6 linked regions of the Rattus norvegicus genome follow. The main gene of each other region encodes a partner of the protein of the gene in region 3 in a complex. Links are inferred from orthologs where the notes say so. Each region holds a gene or a part of one and is shown on either strand. Other genes may lie near its edges.

Region 1 (3,500 bases), on a different chromosome or scaffold from region 3:
ATCCTTCTTTTTACAGATACCAGAAATTATCCACTTTTGCTGTGATTTCCTCATGTCATGGGTCGATGAGGAGAACATCCTTGATGTTTACCGGCTGGCAGAGCTCTTTGACTTGAACCGTCTGACCCAACAGCTAGATACCTACATCCTCAAAAACTTTGTGGCCTTCTCAAGAACTGACAAGTACCGCCAGCTTCCCTTGGAGAAGGTCTACTCTCTCCTCAGCAGCAATCGCCTGGAGGTTTCCTGTGAGACTGAAGTGTATGAAGGGGCCCTGCTCTACCATTACTCCATGGAACAGGTGCAGGCTGACCAGATCTCACTGCATGAACCCCCCAAGCTCCTAGAGACTGTGCGTTTTCCCCTGATGGAAGCTGAGGTCCTCCAGCGGCTGCACGACAAGCTTGGTCCTAGCCCACTGAGGGACACAGTGGCCAGTGCCCTTATGTACCACCGGAATGAGAGCCTGCAGCCCAGCCTTCAGGGCCCACACACAGAGCTTCGCTCAGACTTCCAGTGTGTTGTGGGCTTTGGGGGCATTCACTCCACACCATCTACAATCCTCAGTGACCAGGCCAAGTACCTGAATCCCCTTCTGGGAGAGTGGAAACACTTCACTGCCTCTCTAGCGCCCCGAATGTCCAACCAGGGCATTGCAGTGCTCAACAACTTCGTGTACTTAATTGGAGGGGACAATAATGTCCAAGGATTCCGAGCTGAGTCCCGATGCTGGAGGTATGAAAGGGCACTTGTCATCATTGCCTTTATCCTTAGGCAGCTCCAGGTGCGGGAGTTGTGGGTTTTACATGAGTGTTAACAGCTTTTCTGGGCTATCCCTGTGTCATGTAATGGAGTCCAGATGAATCCAGACAAAGTGGACCACAGTGAAATAAGGAAAAGGGCTCAGATTGCTTTCTCGCCCCCTGACCTGCTGTCCAGAAACTCAGTCACCCTGAAGCACAGCCACCTATCCTTGCTGTCTGCAGAAGGTCACTGGCTGCCTGTGCTCAGGGAGCATGCCTTATTCAGTAAGGGGCTGGGGCAGTGGCTCCTGCCATCTTCAGTCTGCCTCTTCAGTGTCCTTTTTTCAACGTCTCTGCTCTTTTTCTCCATATTGCCAGCCAGGATGTCTCTCAGATGCTGCCTGCTGGAGCCCACATCTGAGTACAGAGAGTGGGAAGGACCAGTAAGCATCATTGAGCCTTCACTAAGTTCCCCGTGGGCCTGTAGTCGGATGAGTATGTACTCAATAAATACTCTGGGAGGAGGCAGTTTTTCTTGAGGGAGTTTTGTGAACTGATTTGATCTGCAGGTTGCTTCTAGCTGTGGTCCCAGAGATCCATTTCTTTGGACAGAACAAGAGACATTAGTTTAAGTCTCCAGCTACCAATGGATTTTAAGGGGCCTTTTCTCTTCATTATACCTTGGTGTATGTGGGAACCCCTGCCATCCCCGGTGCCTACTACAAGCTAAGATGATGTTTTTAGAGAGCAGCTCTGAGCTGAGTGCCGATGTAATTCACTTTGACATGCAAGCTGTGTTTTTGGCTGTAAGGGTAAGGCTGGATTCTGCTCTGGCCCTGCCACATGAATCAAGAAAGCACAGTGACACTGACCAAGAAGAAAGCAGGCATTTCTTGGTCATTTCTGTTCTCTTGGCCCTAGGAAGCAGTCATCTTCGGTAAACTGATGAGACTTAAACCTACCTATAATACATAACGGTTAGATGGTTGGGATTGCAGAGTTCAGAAAGAAGGAAATGACTCACTTCCCTTCTAACTGAATCCTGTCTTCAGTGAACATGGATGAATTTGCGTTCCCTCAGGTCAAGCCTGCAAGCTTCTTTCTTGCAGGGCTCTGCCTCTAGCTGTGGGATTAGGTTCAGACTGCCCTGCCTTAGCTATTCAGAGCTACAAAGCAGACCTCTCCAAAGCACTGACAGCTGGGAGCTGAAGTTGGAGCATGGCAGGTGGGATCAAAGGAACAGGAATTTACAAGGTTGCTGTGGCAAGGACCAGGCCCTGCGTGCCAGCTGACTAGGGTGTCTGTCATCTCTGCCAAATGAAAACTTCATTTACTTCCTAGTCATCTCAAGCCTTACAAAGCTAGGGTTACGGCTCAGTGTTTAATGTTTCCCTAGCTTGAGTAAGTAAGGCCCTGATTCCACCCCAGCACTGTGTGTTTTTGTTTTTGTTTTTGGTCAAACTCACTAGCTGAGTAGTGAGGATGATCTTAAAATCCATGGCCATTCTGTCTTCACCTCCCGATTGCTGGGAAGTGGCTGAATCCCTAAAATAGATTTTTCTGAGTTTGTTTCTTTTCTGTATTCATAGTTTACCAGATTTAAAATCTATAAGCTCTTAGAATGTAAGAAAACATTATTTTATAGTAGATAGAGTATTGCAATCTGAGGACATACTGCTTAGCAAATATGTTCTAGAACTCTGATGTTGAACCTGTAAGAAATGGTCCTGTGAAGCAAATTGATTTGCCTTTGTTTCCACTAGTTCTTTTATTTTCTTTCTTTGAATTCATATATACAAAGTGTTTTGGCCTCATATCACTACTATGAAATATCTAAAGTAACTAGTTGATAAATAGAAAACATTTATTTACTGCATACTTTGAGAAGTTTAAAGTCCAACCAAGACCATGCAATTTATGCAGTATACCCTCTGGTTTGTCCTATGTTCCTATGTGAGGGTAGATGGCAGCGGAGGGAGCACTGAACCTATAGTCACATTGTGGTCCAGGAAACAGGAGGGAGAGCAGAGTTACACAGTGTTGTTTAAAGACAGGGTAAGAGAGAGAGAGAGAGAGAGAGAGAGAGAGAGAGAGAGAGAGAGAGAGAGAGAGAGAGAGAGAGAGAAAGAAAGTGGGGTAGTAGTGGTGTCCTCCTTTAATCCTGGCATTCAGGAGGCAATGGCAGGTAGAGCTCAGAGTTTGAGGCCAGCCTGATCTACAGAGTGAGTTCTAGGACAGGCAGGCTTACACCAAGAGGGTGGTAGGGTGTTCTTATTTTGCATTCCTGGCTGGCCCAGAACTCTATAGACCAGGTTGGCTTTGAACTTGGAGCAGTGCTCTGCCTCCACTTCCCTGGTGCTACAATAAGAGAGGTATGTGCAGCTGTAATAGGTTTCACTATCTCTTGGGTGTGTTTTCCAGTGATCCAAGCAGGTCTAGAGTACCTCCCCAAACGGTCACTTTGAGGATCAGGTTTATCTTATGGTTACTATTGCCGTGATGAAACACCATATACAAAAACACATTGGGGAAGACAGGGTTTAATTCACTCACATTTCCATATCACAGTTCATCATCAAAAGCAGTGAACGAAGGAATTCCAACCGAGCAGGAACCTTGAGGCAGGAAGTGATTTAGAGGCCTTGGAGCATTGCTGCTTACTAGCTTGCCTTCTATGGTTTTCTCAGCCTGAGTTACAGAAGCCAGGACAACCAGTCCAGGGGCAACCGCATGCACAATGAGCTGGGTCCTCCCACA
Region 2 (3,989 bases), on a different chromosome or scaffold from region 3:
TGTAGCCCTGACTGTCCTGGGATCAACTCTATAGATCAGGCTGGTCTGAAAATTAGATTGACCTTCCTCTGTCTTGAGTGCTGGGGTTAAAGGAGTGTGCCCCCACTGTCCAGGTCTAGTAATTCTTAAATGAACTAATGGATGCATTGGGAAAGGGTGATGTCTATTCTTGGTTGTCAACTTGATTTTATCTGGACTAGCTACAACCCAAGCAGCTGAGTACACCGTGAGGAATTTGAGGTAGGAAGACCCACCCTAAATCTGGGCTACACCTTCTAATGGCAGACTACATAAAGGACCTGGAAGAAGGAAAGTTTTGCTTTTTGCCTGCCCTTAACTCTCACAGGTAGGTTTATTCTTTCACTGTCTTATAGCCAACTTGTGGGTTCCAAGGTATACTGAAGATCAGCGGAAGCATCTGGCCTCATGGACTGACAATTAGATTCATGGACGTTATGTCTGCAAATAGCCATTGTTGAACTACCCAGCCACAGCCTGAAAGTCACTCAAATAAATTCTATATGTGTGTTGAATGTATGTATGTGTATATGTATATGTATATATGTGTAGATAAGGGTTTACTCTATCAGTTTTGTACCTCTGGAGTGAAGAATATTTGAAGGGTATTAAAAAAAAAAGTTTAGGAAGAAATTTCCGTCGACTTGACAGAACTGAAGCTTAAAGTCCTCTCCCCTGAAATACATGGATTCTCAGTCTAGACAGGGATTCACATCTGTAGAAATTCCCCCACATCCACCGGGGAGTAAAAAAGGATTTCCTTAACACAGGGACGATTACATTGCAGGTTTGTAAAAAGATCAACAATGGCTATGATTCGGAAAGAAATCAGAAAGAAATCTTTTGTACTGAAAGAAGTATGTGTCATCTACAAGGATCTTCCTTAAGGAAAGCTCTAGAATAGGTCGTGTTGCTTTCTCCCAACTCTGGCCACCAGAGCAGAAAGGCAATAGTCTGTCCCTTTAAGAATCTGGTGGCAGTCGCTTTCCTCTCTCCGCCCCGCCTCCCGCGGCACCGGTGGCCTGGACGACCGTCCCTTTCTTCTCACACGGCTGTATTACAGGTTAGTCGGCCCATCCGTCACAGAGACACGGTCTATGATTGGTTGTTGGGTTTCGGGCCGCGAGGCGGGGCGGGAAGGCCGGAGAAACTAGTTTGTTGGCGGCGCCGGTGCGGTTCGGCTACGGGATCGCGGCCGGGACTGGAGAGCCGGCCGGGGACGGCGGCAGCGGCGGGGACTGCGGAGCCTGTGGGGCCCCACGGTGAGGACCAGGTCGGGACCGAGTCGACAGGGGGCGCCGTCGTCGGGAATTGTCACCGGGACAGCGAGCGACCCTGCGGGAGGATCGCCAGGCAGGGCGTGGGACCGAAGGCCCGGTTCACTGGGTGGGGGAAGTGGGTGTTGACCCGGGAGCGCCCCTCGGTCGAGCTTGGGGACCCCGTACTGTTATGTTCAGAGCTCCCGCCAAGGGAATGAATTGTTTTCCAAACGGATGTTACGCGCTGGAGAGGCTACCCTCCCTCGGGAGTGTTTGATTCATTGAGTCCGCTGATTATCTTTTTAAAAAAAATTACTATTGATCCTAGAAAGAGGAAGCTGCTTGTCTTCGAGGATTCGAACCGTGCTGCTTTGCGCTCGCACCTAGCCAGGGTCCCAGAGCTTTCCTTTGCCTAGCCAGGGCGGAGGGGTTAAACCAGGGAAGAGTAGACAGCAGGGCCTGGCCGTGTGGCCCGCTGCATAGGATCCTTCCTGTCTGGGAAGTTGTCTGTCAAGGGGAGTGGTGACACTCCCGGAGCCATACGCCCTTACCCACCCAGGTGGTGGCCCATCTGGCAGGGCTGTAGCAACTCATCCGCTCCCCGGCCGCTCCCCCTCCCCTCAACCCTCCTTCCATGCGTTGCCCTGGCGCGAGAATTCCGCTGTGGTCTGCAAATCCCCACTTGACTGGTCTCATAGTTGTATTAGAAGCTTCTTTTTCCTATTCGGGAATGGTGCCTACTGGGGTACCAGACACTTGGGTGCAAGTGCTTCAAGGACCTCAAAGTGGATTCTCACAGTCTTTAGGTTTCTTTTTTTTCCTTTTTTTTTTTTCCCGTTTTTAGTCTTGCTATGAAGTCAGCCAGTCTTGAGCGTGAAATCCTCTGGTCCCAGCCTCCTGAGAGCTGGGTTTATAAGCAAATGCCACCGTACCAATCCCAGAGAATTTCTAGAGACTCAAGCACAGGAAGCTGGGGGGAGGGGTGGACTACAGGGGCCTTTGTAGTTCAACTGTACTTTGGGGAGACCAAAGGCCAAGTTGCTTTGGCCAAGGCTTGTTGGGCACTAGTTCTCCCTCCCTGATGAGGCAGGATAAGGTATGCCAATTGTCTGGGCTATTCACCCTGTCTTGGAGTAGGACAGGGAGGGAGGGGGACTTGGCATCTGACCCTCTAGTGTGCTGAACCTTTCATAAGCGGCACAGTTATGCTGGGAGTACTTTTTATGGGTGTTGCTGAAAGCTTGTGTCTGGGGACAGAGGAGGGAGGCCCTATGGTGCTCTTATCCTACAGCAAGTAGGCTTGGTCCCTCTAAGACAGGGTTCTTGAGGTCACAGGCTTTGTCTGTGGAGACCGGCAAAGTCACTTTTGTCCCAGGCCCTGTAGTTATTGATATTTCAGTTGAGTCATTTGTCAGCCAGTGAGTCCAGGGAGGTTTTTAAAGGAATTATGGAGGATGGACGGATGAAACCTTTGTCATGGGCATCAAACTGGAGCTGGGTTCCCTGTACCATGCAGTACAAGGTCTGCGTGCAAGTTGCATGTTCTACAGTGGCTCGGTTTCCTGTTGATGGCATCCTAAGTCTGTGACACCAGTGTGGGGAAAGAAAAGTAGGAGGAAAAAATGTCCCCATGTGTGATGTGCAATGATTGATTGCATCTTTCCTGTCACTGAGAGGGAGGAGAGTGGCCTGGAACAGTGAGCATGTGATACAGAGGTAGTTTTAGTCAGATTTATCATTTGAGCAGACCTTACTGAGACCCTGCTTTTACAGAGAAGTGGGTGCTGGCTCATGGATTGGGGGCCCTGGCTCATAGGTTTGCAGAGCCCCGGTGAGCAGGGAAGCAGGGAGCTGGAGAGAAGGGTGAAGGTTTCCTGGAGAGAGAAGGAAAGCTGGCACACAGGCCCACCGAGCCTCCATTCTCTGCCCTGGCTGCAGCCGGTTTTCTAGCCATCTGTCCAATCTCTTCCAGGGCCAGCTCTAGGATGCTCGCTTTAGGCACAGGTGATTACAGGGAAAAGGCAGATGGGAGCTGACCAAAAGATTCATCCTTGGCTGTGACAGTGTGACACTGTGGGCAGCTGTGCAGGTTCATTTGAGGACCTGGCTTCCCGTGCAACTTCTGAGGGGCTCCTGCTCACCAGGTGCAGGGCCACAGACACACACAGACACAGACACACACAGACACAGATAGACAGACACACACACACACACACACCCCCTTCTAGAGAGAGTTGGCACAAGCCAACAGTGGTGGGCCACAAATGAATTGGCCAATTGAAATGCTAATGTAGTAAGTCAGCTAATGTGGTAAATTTCATAATTGAATTGCCTTGCTGATCTGCCAGTGAATCCTTTTCCAGGCCTGGAAACACTTGCAGCCCTGTGAGGATGGCCAGGCAGAGGCAGAACTTGAGCATCCACAGCTCCCAGAAACCACATCCCAGCAGGACTTGTGATGAGTCTGCTGCTCTCTGGCTGCCACTGCAGGCTTTTCTCCTTGTCTGCAACCGTGCCCCGTGAACCCTCTGCTGGGACCAGTTCTAAAGGCATCTGAAGCTGACAACTGCCGCCTGCCTTGCCAGGTGTCTCTGGGGCTTGTTAGGACACGGGAGCAGAAACTGAAGGGACAGGAAGGGACTTTGAGGTTGGCAGGGCTCCCCCTCAAGTCCCTTCAGCACAGGGTGAGTGGAAGGAGCTCAGTCTCTGGTC
Region 3 (2,470 bases):
GAGCATGAATATTTGTTATTGTTTGTTTACTTGTGTGCATATTCTAATTGAGATTTTTTTTCTCTTAATAATACTAAATTACATTTATTATTAGCTAAATCTGATAAATGGTCTTATTCCTATTTTAGTTGCAGCCAAACAAGGTGAATCTGACCCAGAAAGGAAAGAAACAAGACAGAAAGTAGATGATGACAGAAAACACGAGATAGAAGCTGCTATAGTGCGGATAATGAAGTCTAGGAAGAAGATGCAGCACAATGTTTTAGTAGCAGAGGTAAGGACACCGGAAGCCTGGGTCAACAACGTCATTGTCACACAGCACTGCTCACCAAGAACAAGATCCTGTGCATAAACACCTGCATATCAGTATGCTTTTATAAACAAATCACCTGTGTTTCTGAACATTAGTAACAGTCACCATTTTTTTAAGAGCTTTTCATAAGTTAGGAAGCCAATACCCATGAAGGGACCATTAACCTAGTTAAGACTTGAGAGGTAGAGCTGGCAGTTCATTAACCAATGATGGCAAATAAGGAGGATGACTTTAGCCTCCTGAGTTCCTCACTTGAGTAAGTAGACAGAAGTTGAGCCCCTTAACTACAGAGTGGTCCATATCTTAATTAATAATGGTTTGCATGGTTGATTTTTATTGTGTGCTGGCATATGCCTGGGTAGGAGTCAATTGTGGCACTGAAAGTTGGTTAAAAAGTGAGAAGTCCAGATGTTGAATTGGGAGCTCACATTGTATGGAAATATAGTCAGAACTGAGTCCATGTTAAATTGTTCGGGAGTACCATGGGAAAAAAACAACAGAAAAAAATTGCAAGAAAAAGCCCTACAGTTCCATATTCTGGAGCAATGAGAGTGCTTAATGAATGACACTGAGAAGAACCCTTGAAAACTGGTTTTAAAGAAGCTGTACTAATGTCATGAGTCTTAGAAATAGAGGTCATTGGTCCACCCAGACTTAATGAATCAGCACTTCCAGAGTCAGCACTCTGGCTCTAACAGGCTAATGGGTGATTATGAAGTTTAAACTGAGAGTTGGAGGTACTTTTGAAGGTTGATTGCAATTTAGACTCTGTAAGGAAGAAGAATAAGTGTAAAGTCTGTCTATTCACAGTCTATAAGATAGAGTTAAGGATTGGCAATTTCAAGTGGGTGGTTGCAAGATTTTTGTTGTTGTTATTTTTTTAATAAGTGGGTTGGGTAAATGCACTGTGAAAATGCAGAGAGGGTAAGGTTGGAAAAGAAACCTGCCAAGAACAAGGGTTTTGATACTAGAATGGAAATTGTGGAAGGATGATATATTGTAGTTGTACAGTTGGGTGCTAAAATTTCACATGTCAAAGAATTTCCAATAATTGCATGTTGGAAAAAAGCTTTGATCAACAAGAGTAAAAGAAAATCTGGCTAATGAGTCAGGGTGGATTATTGAAATGAGTGTGAGCTTTGAGGACAAAGAGGTTTGGACTCTCTCTGGTTCTGCTACTGATTGTCATTACCAACTTTTAATTTCCTTTATAAAATGAAACAGACTACATTGCAGTTAAAATTGTGAAAGTGTTTGTGTGTGTGTGTGTGTGTGTGTGTGTGTGTGTGTGTGTGTGTGTGTAGATATATATAAATATTATGTTAACAGACTGGCTGCTACAGTTGAACATATTACTGGTAGCAACATACTTAAGATCTGACTGCAGCTGGAGTAAAGAATGCCAGAAGTTTCTCTTAGTATTGGGTGCCATGCCATTGCTGTAAAGGATTGTTATCTGTCAACTCATCTCTGAAACCCTAGCTGGACTGAGATAATCAGGAATTTAAACCCAAGCAGTCTGGATCCAGAGCCTTTGCTTGTAAACACTACTAGGTTCTATGAACTGGGAAGGTAACCCAGAAGTTAATAATATCATCGAAATGATTAAATTATATGCTGGTATGTATTCAGAATGCTGAACTCTAACTAATCCTCATTAGCATCCATATTTTGACACATGGAAGTGTGCTCTAAACATCCAGTAAATTTTCAAGTAAAAGCTTTAATATTTGGTACTTTTTCCTGTCCAGTTCTTTTATCTGTTATGTTGAGGCTTCACATTCCCAAGTGCTTAAGATTATAGGTATAAGGCACCATGCCTGGTACTTTAAAAAATTTAAAAAATTTAGGTGTACAGTCACTAAATTTTTTAGCTTTAAAGTGGCATGTCCGCTCTAGTAGAAGATGGGGATTTTTGTTTGTTTATGTGGAAGTGTTTTAGTTAAATTTAGACTTTACCTTTTCTTTTTAGGTAACTCAGCAACTGAAGGCTCGATTCTTACCAAGTCCAGTTGTTATTAAGAAACGTATTGAAGGACTTATTGAGAGAGAATATTTGGCACGAACACCTGAGGATCGCAAAGTATACACATACGTAGCATAAAATGCATTCAGAAATTTGATTTATTCTTGGACTGTACTCTTCGCATGGACTGG
Region 4 (4,173 bases), on a different chromosome or scaffold from region 3:
TTACATTATGTGTATGAGTATTTTAAATGCCCATGCGTTATGTGTAACATGTATGTGCCTGATGCCAAAGGGGTCAAAGGAGAGTGTCAGACTCCCCAGACCTGGAATCACAGATTGTTAAAAGCCACTATGAGAAGTTCTGAGAATCCAACCTGGGTCCTCTGTAAGAGCAAGTGTTCTTAACCAGTGAGCCAACTCTCTAGTTCCTAAAGAATAAACTTTTTTTTTGGGGGGGGGGTTCTTTTTTTCGGAGCTGGGGACCGAACCCAGGGCCTTGCGCTTCCTAGGCAAGCGCTCTACCACTGAGCTAAATCCCCAACCCCAATAATAAACTTTTAAAAGCAACTAAAATATATTCTGATAATCTTACATTGCAATAAAGAAAAAACGCATATCCACATAGACACACACACACATTTATTTATGTATGTGTGTGGGCACACAAGTACCATAACAAGCAACGAAAATTCACTGTACAATTTTTTTTTTTTTTGAGACAGTTTCTCTGTATAGCCCCAGCTATCTGGGAACTCACTCTGTATACCAGGCTGGCCTGGAACTCAGAAATCCGTCTGCCTCTACCTCCTGAGTGCTGGGATTAAAAGCAGTGCACTCCCACACCAGGCTTTTTGTATATGAATTTTTAATGACATATTTTATGTGCATTAGTGTTTTGCTTGCATATGTCAATATGGGTCTCGGATCCCCTGAAACTGGAGTTACGGTTGTGATGTGGGTGCTGAGTATAGAACCCAGGGTCTCTGGAAGAACAGCCGGTGTTTTCAACCACTGAGCCATCTCTCCAGCTATTTTGTTTTGTTTTGTTTTTTGAGTCAGTGTTTCTCTGTGTAACCTGGCTGTTTTGAAACTCCCTCTGTAGACCATGCTGGCCTCAAACTGATATATCTGCCTGCCTCTGCCTCCCAAGTGCTTGAATTAAAGGTATGCACGGCCACTGCTCAGCTCAGAATATAACTTTTCAGTCAAGTGTTTCTCCTTCCACCTTGTAGATCCTAGAGACTCTTAAGTTGTCAGGCTTGATTGGCAGCTTGTGCCATCTCACCAGCACAATAAAGGATAACTTATAAAATAATCTTAAAAGACAGTAAAATGAAGAGATATATTTGACTTGAACTGTGCAGAAGTCAAACAATTCTAGATCCATTGTTCCAGTGCTAAGTAGGCAAAAGACACCAGAAGCCAATGGCCAAGGCTGATTTAAAATTTAAAATCTGATTTAAGACAGAGATGCTTGAGTAGAAAGACAAGAATGATTATAAATGCCCACTGTTTGAAAAACCAACAGTAAAACATACAGCCTCAACTATAAAAAGAAAACACCAATGACCAAAGCCTATTTCTATCCTTCAGACTTCTGTCATCTTCTAGGAGGTCAATTCTCTACGAGTAAAGAGATTTGGTCAACTCAGAAATGGGAACAGCTGGGAGGAAGGATATGAGGGACTACCACAGTATATCTCAAACCCTAACTTCGTGATTATTTTGCAGTAACTCAAGAATTCTTATTTCCTGATCATAATGCCAGGCCTCACTGTGAAGGTGCTCTGTCAAGCTGTTTAAAGTGCAGTGGGCTCCAATCTTTCTCGAAAACCTCCTGAGTGGAAACTTTCAGGTGGCAAGGCACAAAATCAAGTGCCATCACGTAAACTGAACCAGAAAACTCAGTAAACTGTCTAGGAGGAAAGGGGAGAGAACGATTTTTCCCTATATTTCGGTCCTGCACAATACTTATTTCTCAGTTATGCAATATATCACACAACTTTTGTAATGATAATAATCGAAATACCTTCTATTACCACAGGTATAACAGTATTAGCGTTTAATTAAATTAAAACTAAACAAACCACAAACTAAGCTGGAAATTCCTACTCTTTTCAAAGGCAGTGGGGAAACAAAGTCTGAAAAGCAGATCGAAAAGGATTCTCTCTACCTGGTCTCTCTTTCACAATCCTAAGGTTTTTCTACACCTGGCCCCGAACATGAATTCAATACAAATAATTCATATATTAGAAGTAAACTGACACCCTTGAACATTTTTACTCAGGAGGTACCTTCTAAGAGCTGCGATGCCTGTTCTTATTATGGATGAGAAGGATGAAGCACAAACTCTGCAAGTCACTGGAAAAAGGGTAGCCACTGTGGCAACCCTTATGGCCTACGTTTATTTAAACGTCTGGAATGTGAAAAGACCAGATGAATGCAAAGGGCTCTCAGGTTCCAAAGCCAGCAAATAGTTGGGCGGTGGTAGTCACACACCCTGGGCAAAACAATCTAGGGAGAAGAAAGTAGGGACACAGCAAAGCTTGGGTCTTTCTCGACCGAAGAACATGAAAAGCAAGAGAAGCACTGTTAAACCTGAGGCAGGTGGGTACAAGAGTGCCATCCTTCCCCCGGCCCAGGACGCTAGGCTGAGTATGTCCGCTTCGCTGGGCGCCCTCAGTGTGGAGAGAGGTGTGTGCCGCGAGTGGCTACCAGGGCGGCCAGACCCCTGTTGACCCGCGAGGCCCTCACCTTGTCCGAATCTAGGTCGGGGTCCGCCTGGCACAAGCGGTACAGGAAAGACTTCGGGTCCCGGCACAGCGTCTGCCGGGTGGTGAGGAAGTAGGTGCCGCCGACGTTGAGACGGACCCACTTGGACACGCCACTGGGGCGCTGAGCCAGGGCGCCGATCCCAGCGCTGCAGCGGCGGCACAGGCCGCCCCCCAGCCCCGCCCCGAGGCCGCTCGGAGCCGGCGGTAGCAGCTCGCAGTGATTCTCCGCCATGATCCTAACAAGCCCCGCCACAGCGCCCCTTCGCCGGAAGCGTCCGTTCTTTAATACAGTCCCCCGAGTTGGCCCGCCCATAAGTACGCCCCAATAAAGTGCCCGCCCAGGTCTCATGTGCAAGACGGAAGTTCCGGCTCGAAAAGCAGACCGGAGATTACAGCTTCCGGCTGGAGCAAGCCTCGGGTTCTCACGGGCATCCTAAGCTCAAGACCCGCCCCCACCCAAAGAGAATCCAGGACAGAAGAAAGTGTACACTCTACATGCTTTTATTACAAGACTACCGAGCATACGAGGGAAATCCATCATCCGGTAATTACATCTAAAGCACAGATATTTGAAAAAAAAAGAAGTTGTTTCATTAAATTATATGATTAAACCATGACCAAATAGAAAATTTATATAATAAAGCCAGGAAAAAAGTTGTAAAATATAGTTTACAATAATTATTCACATTCAAGGCTGTACATCAATACATACAACGTGGCCCCAAACATGAATTCAATCCAAATAATTCATATATTAGAATTTAAATAATACAGACTGAACTAGAGGCCGACAATAGCCAGCAAATAACCTTATATAAGAATAAAAATACAAAAGTGTATATCCTAGTATCATTGCATTATCTGTTTTCATAAGTATTTTTAATTTTTCCTTTGCCTGTACATCACAGTTACAGCTACAGACCAGGTAGAGAATATTACATATGTTCTAACTGACTGCCACCAACCTGAATGACAGCAATAGACTATTGATTCATCCTACTGTACGTGGCTAGGGAATAGCCGCAGCAGCTCTAAATACTGTAACAGTTTTTGATTTGTGCCATGTTCAATCACACTATGGTCATAATGGAGGCTTTCGCCTGCACAGTGACCCACTTGCAGTCACTAACCCAGATGATTAAACTAGGGTGGACTACATGAGGAGGGGAAATTTTGCCATTTGTAAAAATTTCTGTAGAGTTTGGATTCTTCATATGGAAGAAATGAATTACAGGGAATTTTCAGGTATGCATATTGGCTAGTTCATTTGCTTACCGCTGCAAACGTGCTTGAAAGAGCTTCCTTCCAAGGCCATTGTTCCACATTCTAACCTACAACCCTCAAGTGTTAGGCCAGAAGCCACTTATCTTCAGAGGTTCTGAGAGTCGTCCTAGCCCTGTCAAATCTGTCAGGACCCTTATCATACACTCTGCCTAAGAGGCGCTACACCCATTGGCATCACCATCAGTTTATGTTGGGTTTTGCATTAAAACAAGTGGAAAAAGTGTATGGCAGCATCTTTGCCATACTCAATAGTTGCTATGGCCTCCCAAGTCTCAGCTATGAACACCCTGGGTCTATGGAACAGTGGGGAGAAGCCTTGAGGCAGAGAAGGGCAGAA
Region 5 (4,041 bases), on a different chromosome or scaffold from region 3:
TGAATTTACAGAAATCTGCCTACCTGACTCTGCCATGCTGAAATTAAAGGACTGTGCCACTATGTCCAGATTAAACTTTGTATAATTTATCGTTATAGGGGTGACTTATGACTCCCATATACACACAGTCAAGATGCGACAAAGCAGCCGCATAATTACAAGTTCCTTGGGCTCAGTGCTAGGTGTTCATAATGACCTTGGTCAACTAGATTTTCTTTGCATTATTATTACAGGGAAACAAAAATGGAGTGGATAGATACATTGTATATGAGCACAGCTAACTATATTTTATATGAGCACGCTTAACTATATTTTCTTTGTATCATTACAAGAAAGCAAAATGGGATGGATAGATACATTATACACGACCGCAGTCAACTAGATTTTCTTTGTATCCTTAGAAGGAAGCAAAATAGATACATTGTCTGTAATGCATTCTGAGGGCCCGTTAAGCCCCTCTACCAAACTCGTACTTTTAAATGGTCTCATGTCGTTCATACGCTCCTCTTAAACTTTGAACTCAATCTGGAATTCCTGAGATATCCTTTCTCCAGCCTCCTGCCAGCTGGGATTAGAGGCGTCTGCCACTTTACCTGCTTTTTGTCTTGTAGCCACCCCTATTCTCGAGACTGGACATGGAAGTTAGGAAGTAGACAATTCTGAACGTTTTTTGGTTTTGTTGTAACACGTATCTTCAAGCAAATCTATAATTTTTTTGCTTGCTAACAAGACACGGCAAGTTATAAATAACAGGCATAGACCACAAGCACTTGCTGCTTCAAGGCTCTGCTTTGAAATCTGGGGAATGGAGGGGACAACTGCAGCTACAAGCGCCGCTGAATAGAACTTTCCGAACTGCTTTTTCCAGGCCACGCCTGAGGCTGGGTGGCCCCACGACCCCGCTCCACGCACGCGCCCTAGCTGCCGGGCGGTAGCCCGGGAAGCCCCAACACAGACGCCGGCGTCACCTCGCACCGCCTCCGCCCTTCCTGCTTTCCGTTTCCTTCCCGCGCCTGCGCGGCTCCGATTGTTTTGGCTTTCCGGTGGGGCAAAGGAAAAGGGCGCGGTGAGCCAGATGAAGGCGGGGTCCAGGCGCGGACATCTGGGAACCGGCAGAGCCGCTGCTGGAGCGGGCCAGGGCGCGGGCGCGGGCCGCAGGCCGTGACGGCCCAGCCCAGGAGGCGCGAGGAAGCGGAAGCGGGGGCGGAAGCGAGCGGCCCGGATCCCCGCAGCGACACGCCCCCGCTGTGCGTGCGGCCGCGTGAGTGCAGCCCGGCGGAGCGGCGCGGTGAGCTGGGCGGCCGGGGCCGAGGTGAGCCCGGTCGGACGCGAGGTGGGCGGCCTTTGTGGGCCGGGGCGGCGGCGGCTTTCAAACTCCGGCGCTTCCGCCGAGCGCGCGGTGTTTCCGGCGGGGCCTTGCGCGGGCCGCGGGGCTCGGGGCGGCGTCCTTCCGAGGCAGAGCTGTTTTGCCCCGCTCGTGTCGCGGCAGCTGAAGACCGGCGACCGCGTCCTTGCCTTTTTTTTTTTCTTTCTTTCTTTTTCTTGGCACATCGGCAGTAACTAAGAGTTAGCCAGGTTAGCCGGGGTTCTGTTGTCCTCGGCCTGCGTGTGCTCTACTGTGGGAAGGGGAAGCTGCCCTTTGAAACCTGTTTGTTTTAGAGGGAAATCGTGGGTTTGAACTGGACTCATCTTCTCCTGCTAAATCAGAAGACCGTTGAATAGACTGTTCGCTGCCGTAGTGCAGTTGTTTTGAGTTAACGTGTGCTCTCCCCCACTTCCCGCCCCATCAAACTCCTGGCCTACTAGTTTTAAGATTTCTTTTTATAGCTACTTAAAGGAAAGGAAATACGTATTCTCCGGGCTGCAGCTCTCTAGAATTTCCTTGGTGGCCCCTCGTAAGTTAAGCAAGAAACTAAGATAGTAAACTTGATAGACTTTGCTTTGTGAACAGCTATATCAGCTTTGTAAAAGACTGGGGAAAAGACAGTGCTGGTCACGTGTTGTTTATACATGAATCTGTAAGTCTGGCTCAATGAGCAGACACTAAAGAACAGTCCTATCAGGAGAATGCTCTGACTGGAATTATATTTTCTTCCTGTGAGTTAATACATTTTACTTATCTTCTTTTCTTTTGCGTTGTGAATTGTTCCCCAAATTTGAGTAATATAGACCATGTCGGCCTTTGGGTAAAGCTCTTATTTGTAACCTAAGGTCTATTTGAAAAGTCAAGTCAGTTGTTTTTCCCAGTCTCTGTGATGTGAAGTGTTGTTGCTCTTTTTGTCTGTCTGATAACGTTATGCCTTTCTGCTTTGCTCTTTTGTTAGTTAAGCGCTTTTTCAGGTTCTTTTAGATCAGGGCCAGAAATCTTAGAGGGTATAATTCTTGGCAACTATGGCTTTTCCGTTGAGCATACTTTGTATGTAGTCCGTGTGTTTCCACGCTGTTATTTCCTCTATTCAGATAAGTACTGTAATTATTCTCCCTTTTATTTCCATAAGCGCAGTACTGTAAAATGTTAACTTTTCACTTAAGGAGATGACAGAAATAAAAGGAGTCATGGTAATTAATTAGTGAGGCCACTGTAGAGTTTTCTTTTTAGCTAGCAGAAATAATGAGAATTTCTTAGTTTCTATGCTTTGAATATTGAATGTGTTTTAGATGTTTGTTAAATTCCTAGAAACCTGAGGTGTGTCTTGAGGTATACTGTATTAATAGTGTAACCCAGGCTTGCCTTAAAATCCTGCATCAACCTGGAGTTGCAGACTAGTACTAGCATACCATGCCCTATTGAATACAGTCTTGAAAGCCAAAAGATACCTGGTTTTCCACAGATTTGCATGCGATTTAGTAAACTGTTGACCACCCCCCACCCACCCCTTCTCAGCCATATTCCTAAGACAGTTGGGGCTGAGAAAATGATGAGTTTTGCTGTCCTGAAACGCGTCTTGTTATCCACCAGTCTTGCCCTGTTTTTCAGAGTTTGAATAAAGCAGATACATATGGAACTTGAGTAGTTAAGAGCGTTAGTCAGGTTGGTCTCAAGCACTTAGGTGTAGGAAGGAAGGTGTTCTTGATGTTTTGGGACGATTGGAGTCCCTAGATCCTTTTATGGGAAGGAGAGGTGGTCATGGGATAGTGAAGACAATGAAGTGTAACAGGACCATCTTTCTTTACTCCACTCATATAAATGACAGTGGTGACTCGTAGTGCCTTTCATTGCAAGCAGGGGCTTCCAAGAACTTTACCTTTATGGTTCACTTATTTTTGTTACACTGGGGATGCTAAGCAAACACCCTACTTTTATTACTGAGCAATAGCCCCAGCCCTTGTTTGTTTTTTAAGTGACAGGATCTTGCTGGGTAACCTAAGGTTGGCCTGAGCTACCAGGATGCATTTCCTCCCCTGCCCGCTTTTGGAGAAAGGGCACACTCAGCATCAAGTTTTGAGTTCTATATTTCTGTAAGGAAACACATTTTAGTATTAATTAATTAGTAGTAATTAATGTTAAGGGGCTCTACCCCTTATACTCTATATAAGAATGTGAGTATCCAAGATGATACTTGCATAACTTGGGGTATCAGGAATGGCAAGTTGATTTAAACAATGTTGTTACAAAGTTACAAAAACAGTTCTTGGTTCTCTTGTCAGTAATTGTTTTCTGTTGTACTTGGAGGAACTGACCCAAGAAAACAGTGTTAATGGAAAATTTTGGGTCAGTTTTGTATCAGCCAGGCCCCGCCCCTTCTTGAGACTGAGTAAAATGGAGAGGTAAAGGAGTGATAATTCAAAATGGCATCCTGAGCTCAATGATTCTGTCATAGGCCCTGGGTAACTTACTGACCATACTGTAGTGTAAGAGCTTGTCCTTATGCTTCAGTTTACATAAGTACGCATCAATAACCTGTCTGAGCTGGGAATAAAGGAACATGTAGGAACAGACCTGAGCTCCAAGGTTTATTAGAGGAGGGAAAATTACTGATGTCAGATTTGCCATATTTTAAAAGCAAACAAACAAAAACCCCAGCCATTCTCAAAACCCTT
Region 6 (4,300 bases), on a different chromosome or scaffold from region 3:
TTCAGATTCCAGTCCAGCTGACCTCACTGTGGTAATGTGACCCTGGTTGAATTGCCTCTCTAATGAGAATCATTCTCAAAGGTTGGCTTTCTGGTTTGTTTTAAAAGGCAAGAGAATACCAGTTGAAGGCGTGTCTCTGGTCTGCAAACAAAACTTCCATTGGTAAAGATTCTAAAGAGCCAGAGACTAAGAGCCTGTTCTTCTGGTGACTCACTGAATCCTGCCTTGTTGCTGATGGAGGCTCAGACAGAGCCTGGTCCAGCCTCTTTGAAGTCGGCCTTCCCAGAAGCCCCCAGACCAATGTCTAATGGTAGCCGTGGCACGTTGCCTTGCTGTAGTCTACTAGATCCTTGCCTCTCACCTGAAACCCTCCTCATACCCCAAACACCAAGAGTGACGGATGGGGAACAGAAACCTGCCAAGAACGATTCCAGGCCTGTCAATCACAGGGCAGTTAGTGTCCTGAGTTTTTCAGAGTGTCCAAGAAAGTAACGAAGTATAGCAAACCCCAGGTCCGTGTGTTGTGTCTCTTTCCCATAGGAAGGCAGAATCCTGATAGGATGTTCTCTGTACTTCGTAGCTCCTTACCCTTGCGTGTATTCTGCAGACTATAATGACTTACAGCCCCCTCTTGGTGAAGCAGCCGACAGATATAGTAATACTGAGGAATGCAAGCTGGGACATCATGGGGCAGACACCATGCTTCACTACAGACCTTGGAATCCAGCCTTCCAACCAAGTGTCCCGCAAAGGAACACAGGAAAAATGTCCTTTCCCAACAGCTATGGCAGGGATGGGGGTAGGTTGGGATGAGAATGGGAAAGTGCTACCCAGAGGGGACAATCATCTCCATCCACTTGCCCCTTTTGCTGCCATCTCTGGTGCTGGGGTCTGAACTCTCTCTGGAGCCCCCTCCAAGCCACTGCCTGCCTTCCTGTCTGTCTGCAGGACCGGTAGTCACTGCAAGACTGTCTGTCCTGTCCATGGAGTTGATAACTCTTCTAACAAATTCGTTAGCCCCAGAAATCCGTTATTGCACCTTTGAATCACACTGCAGGTGCAAAATCTCTCAGTACTGACTGGCCTAGGAAAACTCACACAGGCAGGGACTGTGGGGCTGCGGGAAACACCAGAAGATCAAGTACAATGACTTTTGCGCAGGGGGAGAGCACCGCGAACCGACACGTTTGTTTGTATCCTAACATTGCTTGACAGTGGTTAAGAGTGCATACTGCTGCTGCGGAGGACAGGAGGACTCGGCTTCCGCGTAGGGCAGCTTACAACCGTCTTTACCTCAGGCTGCAAGGTGATCTGCCGCCTTCGGCTTCCCGGCACCTGCATTCACGCGTACGAACCCACACAGACACAAGGATTATAGACTCAGAGAGGCCGTTTACTTCGAGGGCGCGTGACGCACCGGCGGGGCTGAGCCCAGGGCCCCGAGCGGCGGAAGGAAGGAAGCGCTAGCGCAGGCCGGGCTCCGCGGAGGCTGTGCGCCCGGGGGAGGAGCCTGAGCAGCCGGGCGGCGGGCGCAGCGGCCCAGCCATGTCGGCCGAGGAGATGGTGCAGATCCGCCTGGAAGACCGCTGCTACCCGGTGAGCAAGAGCAAATTGATCGAACAGAGCGACTACTTCCGCGCTCTCTACCGCTCCGGCATGCGCGAGGCCGTGCGGCCCGAGGTGGGTCCGGAGGTGCAGCAGCTGCGCGGCCTGAGCGCTCCGGGCCTGCGGCTGGTGCTGGACTTCATCAACGCGGGCGGCGCGCGCGAGGGCTGGGGCCTGAGCGAGGACGAGTTGGCCGAGGCCAGCGTGCTGGCCGAGATGGTGGAGGCCGCGTCCTTTCTGCAGGTCACGGCGCTGCTGCGCTTGCTGCTGTCGCATGTGCGTCTGGGCAACTGCCTGGAGCTGTACCGCCTGGCGCAGGTGTACGGGCTGCCCGACCTGCAGGACGCCTGCCTGCGCTTCATGGTGCTGCGCTTCCACCAGGTGCTGTGCCAGCCGCAATTCCCGCTACTGCTGTCGCCGCCTCAGGCCCCCGGGGACTGCAGCCTGAAGCAGAGGTTGCGGGAGGCCCGCATGCGCGGGACCCCGGTCCTGGTGGCCCTGGGGGACTTCCTCGGGGGACCCCTGGCTCCGCACCCGTATCAGGGGGAACCCCCGTCCATGCTTAGGTATGAGGAGACCACAGAGCGCTGGTTCCCCCTGGCCAACAACCTGCCCCCCGACCTGGTGAACGTCAGGGGCTACGGCTCAGCCATCTTGGACAACTACCTCTTCATCGTGGGTGGTTACAGGATCACCAGCCAGGAGATCTCGGCCGCACACTCCTACAATCCCACCACCAACGAGTGGCTGCAGGTGGCTTCCATGAACCAGAAGCGGTAAGTGCAAGGGGGTGGGGGGTTCTGCACCCTTCATTCATTGCCCTGGCCAGAGGCGATGGATGGCATCTCACTTAGTGCTGCTAAGTGCTCCACCTCTGGTGGAGTTCCCAGTGAGCCCAGGGCTTGCCAAGAAGACAAGCCGTGTATCAGCTAGCCTAGTGGTCTTCTTACATGTGCAGGCCCCAGGTAAGAAGTTTTTCTGCCTCAGAAGAGCTTGCAGAGAAGGCTATTGAGAATTACGGAGGCACTAGCAGTAACTGGTAACTCTAGCTTGTTGTTGCTGATGGCGACTTTAGATCCTTCTCACTTGGGTAGGAGAGAGTGCATCCACTCTCCCTAGGACGATGTAAGGGATCGCCATAGAGCATTCTCTTTTCTTTTCATTCTCTCTTCATTTGTTTCTTATTACCTCCTAAGACAGCAATCATCTTTGACCCAAAACTTGAGCCTGGAGCGGTCAGCTACAGAATGGGTGTGCCCTTGTCTCTCTGCGTCTGTTGTCTACCTGGGAGGCCTCAGACACCCCAGTCTGGGTGCCTGAGTCCTTTGTGACTGTAGCATTAGCATATACATATAAACCCTACATGTACACATACACCTATACATATATACATTAGCATAGAGCGTATGTATATACAACCTCCTGCATATGTTCAGGTGGTTTTCCTTTATTTTCGTATGCTCCTCAGGCTGGTCTTGCAGACCTGCCATCCTCTGCCATCCAGCCTTCAGAGAGCTGTTACTTATGACTTCGAATGTAACACATTTACCACGTCAATGGTTGTCAGATGGCATTGGTGAGGGAATGACAAAAACCAGTGTGTACTGTTCAATTTCTCCCTCTTACTGTTAGAAGATGTGTTCCTTTCCACCTCACCCATCTTTCCCATCCTTCGAAGTAAGGAAAAGAGAGAATGAAAGCAATATAGAGAAGCAAATAAAGGAAGAGCTGGGAAAGAAGACACCAGGAAGAGGAAGGGAGTAAAGGCCGCAGTCCCAAGTGGCCTGGAGGAGAGGTCAGGGCTTGTAGAGTGGGCCTGTTGCCCCAGCTGCTTGGAAGGCTGAAGCAGACAGATCCCAAGTTAAAATTCTTTCTGGGCTTCAGAGTGAATTCCAGGCCAGCCTGGATAATGTAGCAAAACCAGAAAGAGTAGGGGAAAGGTGTCTCAGTGGGAGAACGCTAGTCTAGCAATTAGGAAGGCTCAGATCTCACATTGGATGCCAGTGTCCTAGAAGTGGAAAGAGTAACCACACAGGACAGACACACTCTTCTCTCCCCACTTCCCTCCCCTTACCCCTCTCTCCCTCCCCTTCTTTCTTTTCCTTCCTTTCTTCCTTCCTTCCTTCCTTCCTTCCTTCCTTCCTTCCTTCCTTCCTTTCTTCTTTCTTTCTTTCTTTCTTTCTTTCTTTCTTTCTTTCTTTCTTTCTTTCTTTCTTTCTTTCTTTCTTTCTTTCTTTCTTTTTCTTTCTTTTTATCTTGGAGGCATAGTTTGTCTTCATAGTCCTGGCTGTCCTGATTCTCACTCTGTAGATCAGGCTGGCCTTGAACTCAGAGATCGTCTTGCTTCTGCCTTCCAAGTGCTGGGATTAAAATTGTGTGCCGCTGCCACCCAGCTGAGGCTAGGTACTTTTTACCAGGCCCCCTGATGCCATCCAAGACCCACTGTGGTCTCTTCCAGGTCCATAACAGGAAAAAGGGACCTTTAGGTCAGAGATTATTTGCAGAAACATACCTTGTTCTGATGGCTCAGAGGTTAAGAGCGCTTGCTGTTCTGTGCTCAGCATCCGTATCTGACACCCCTTGACAGTCTTTACAGGCACTTACATACACTGGCACACAAATAGACATAAAATAAATCCTAAAAATCCTGGCAAGCTGAAGTGTGAGAGGCAGAGCTGAATGCTCCCTTCCAGAG

Evidence for each region.
Region 1: the proteins of Cul3 (region 3) and Klhl22 are in contact, whole or in part, in a cryo-EM structure (PDB 8K8T), measured with the Homo sapiens proteins. The link is inferred for Rattus norvegicus from reciprocal best matches to the Homo sapiens genes CUL3 and KLHL22. Residues at the interface, in NP_003581.1 of Homo sapiens: Thr14, Arg17, Ile18, Arg19, Ala20, Phe21, Pro22, Met23, Met25, Asn49, Ser50, Gly51, Leu52, Ser53, Phe54, Glu55, Tyr58, Tyr62, Leu66, Met118, Asp121, Ile122, Met124, Tyr125, Arg128, Val129, Gln133; in NP_116164.2 of Homo sapiens: Asp73, Tyr74, Arg76, Gly77, Met78, Gly81, Gly82, Leu83, Lys84, Glu85, Leu92, Ile93, His94, Leu117, Gln121, Val125, Cys128, Gln129, Gln131, Pro133, Trp146, Glu150, Asn151, Asp154, Val155, Arg157, Leu161, Phe162, Asp163, Ser165.
Region 2: Cul3 (region 3) and Klhl25 share a complex: the UniProt entries of both Homo sapiens proteins name them as parts of the BCR(KLHL25) E3 ubiquitin ligase complex. The link is inferred for Rattus norvegicus from reciprocal best matches to the Homo sapiens genes CUL3 and KLHL25.
Region 4: the proteins of Cul3 (region 3) and Kctd5 are in contact, whole or in part, in a cryo-EM structure (PDB 8U83), measured with the Homo sapiens proteins. The link is inferred for Rattus norvegicus from reciprocal best matches to the Homo sapiens genes CUL3 and KCTD5. Residues at the interface, in NP_003581.1 of Homo sapiens: Thr24, Met25, Asp26, Glu27, Lys28, Tyr29, Val30, Asn31, Ser32, Ile33, Trp34, Asp35, Leu36, Leu37, Asn39, Ala40, Glu43, Asn48, Ser50, Leu52, Ser53, Glu55, Glu56, Leu57, Arg59, Asn60, Ala61, Tyr62, Thr63, Met64; in NP_061865.1 of Homo sapiens: Trp45, Phe55, Leu56, Thr58, Thr61, Arg64, Asp65, Lys67, Ser68, Pro96, Thr97, Tyr98, Phe99, Gly100, Pro101, Leu103, Asn104, Tyr105, Leu106, Arg107, His108, Gly109, Lys110, Leu111, Val112, Ile113, Asn114, Lys115, Leu117, Val122.
Region 5: Cul3 (region 3) and Kbtbd2 share a complex: the UniProt entries of both Homo sapiens proteins name them as parts of the BCR(KBTBD2) E3 ubiquitin ligase complex. The link is inferred for Rattus norvegicus from reciprocal best matches to the Homo sapiens genes CUL3 and KBTBD2.
Region 6: Cul3 (region 3) and Klhl42 share a complex: the UniProt entries of both Homo sapiens proteins name them as parts of the BCR(KLHL42) E3 ubiquitin ligase complex. The link is inferred for Rattus norvegicus from reciprocal best matches to the Homo sapiens genes CUL3 and KLHL42.

Annotation. Positions count from the first base shown.
Region 1 is NC_086029.1:96,712,016-96,715,515, reverse strand, and holds part of Klhl22 (kelch-like protein 22), read left to right. Parts: intron 1-16; coding exon 17-735; intron 736-3,500. UniProt on the Homo sapiens protein: Substrate-specific adapter of a BCR (BTB-CUL3-RBX1) E3 ubiquitin ligase complex required for chromosome alignment and localization of PLK1 at kinetochores.
Region 2 is NC_086019.1:139,133,517-139,137,505, forward strand, and holds the start of Klhl25 (kelch-like protein 25), read left to right. Parts: upstream 1-1,189; 5' UTR 1,190-1,280; exon of another isoform or gene 1,281-1,291; intron 1,292-3,989. UniProt on the Homo sapiens protein: Substrate-specific adapter of a BCR (BTB-CUL3-RBX1) E3 ubiquitin ligase complex involved in various processes, such as translation homeostasis and lipid synthesis.
Region 3 is NC_086027.1:89,042,958-89,045,427, reverse strand, and holds part of Cul3 (cullin-3), read left to right. Parts: intron 1-128; coding exon 129-274; intron 275-2,285; coding exon 2,286-2,417; 3' UTR 2,418-2,470. UniProt on the Homo sapiens protein: Core component of multiple cullin-RING-based BCR (BTB-CUL3-RBX1) E3 ubiquitin-protein ligase complexes which mediate the ubiquitination and subsequent proteasomal degradation of target proteins.
Region 4 is NC_086028.1:13,606,963-13,611,135, forward strand, and holds the start of Kctd5 (BTB/POZ domain-containing protein KCTD5), read right to left. Parts: upstream 2,801-4,173; 5' UTR 2,785-2,800; coding exon 2,533-2,784; intron 1-2,532. UniProt on the Homo sapiens protein: Its interaction with CUL3 suggests that it may act as a substrate adapter in some E3 ligase complex. Does not affect the function of Kv channel Kv2.1/KCNB1, Kv1.2/KCNA2, Kv4.2/KCND2 and Kv3.4/KCNC4.
Region 5 is NC_086022.1:87,377,600-87,381,640, reverse strand, and holds the start of Kbtbd2 (kelch repeat and BTB domain-containing protein 2), read left to right. Parts: upstream 1-1,241; 5' UTR 1,242-1,312; intron 1,313-1,352; exon of another isoform or gene 1,353-2,097; intron 2,098-4,041. UniProt on the Homo sapiens protein: Substrate-specific adapter of a BCR (BTB-CUL3-RBX1) E3 ubiquitin ligase complex that acts as a regulator of the insulin signaling pathway, modulating insulin sensitivity by limiting PIK3R1/p85alpha abundance in adipocytes.
Region 6 is NC_086022.1:181,733,732-181,738,031, forward strand, and holds the start of Klhl42 (kelch-like protein 42), read left to right. Parts: upstream 1-1,500; 5' UTR 1,501-1,545; coding exon 1,546-2,381; intron 2,382-4,300. UniProt on the Homo sapiens protein: Substrate-specific adapter of a BCR (BTB-CUL3-RBX1) E3 ubiquitin-protein ligase complex required for mitotic progression and cytokinesis. The BCR(KLHL42) E3 ubiquitin ligase complex mediates the ubiquitination and subsequent degradation of KATNA1.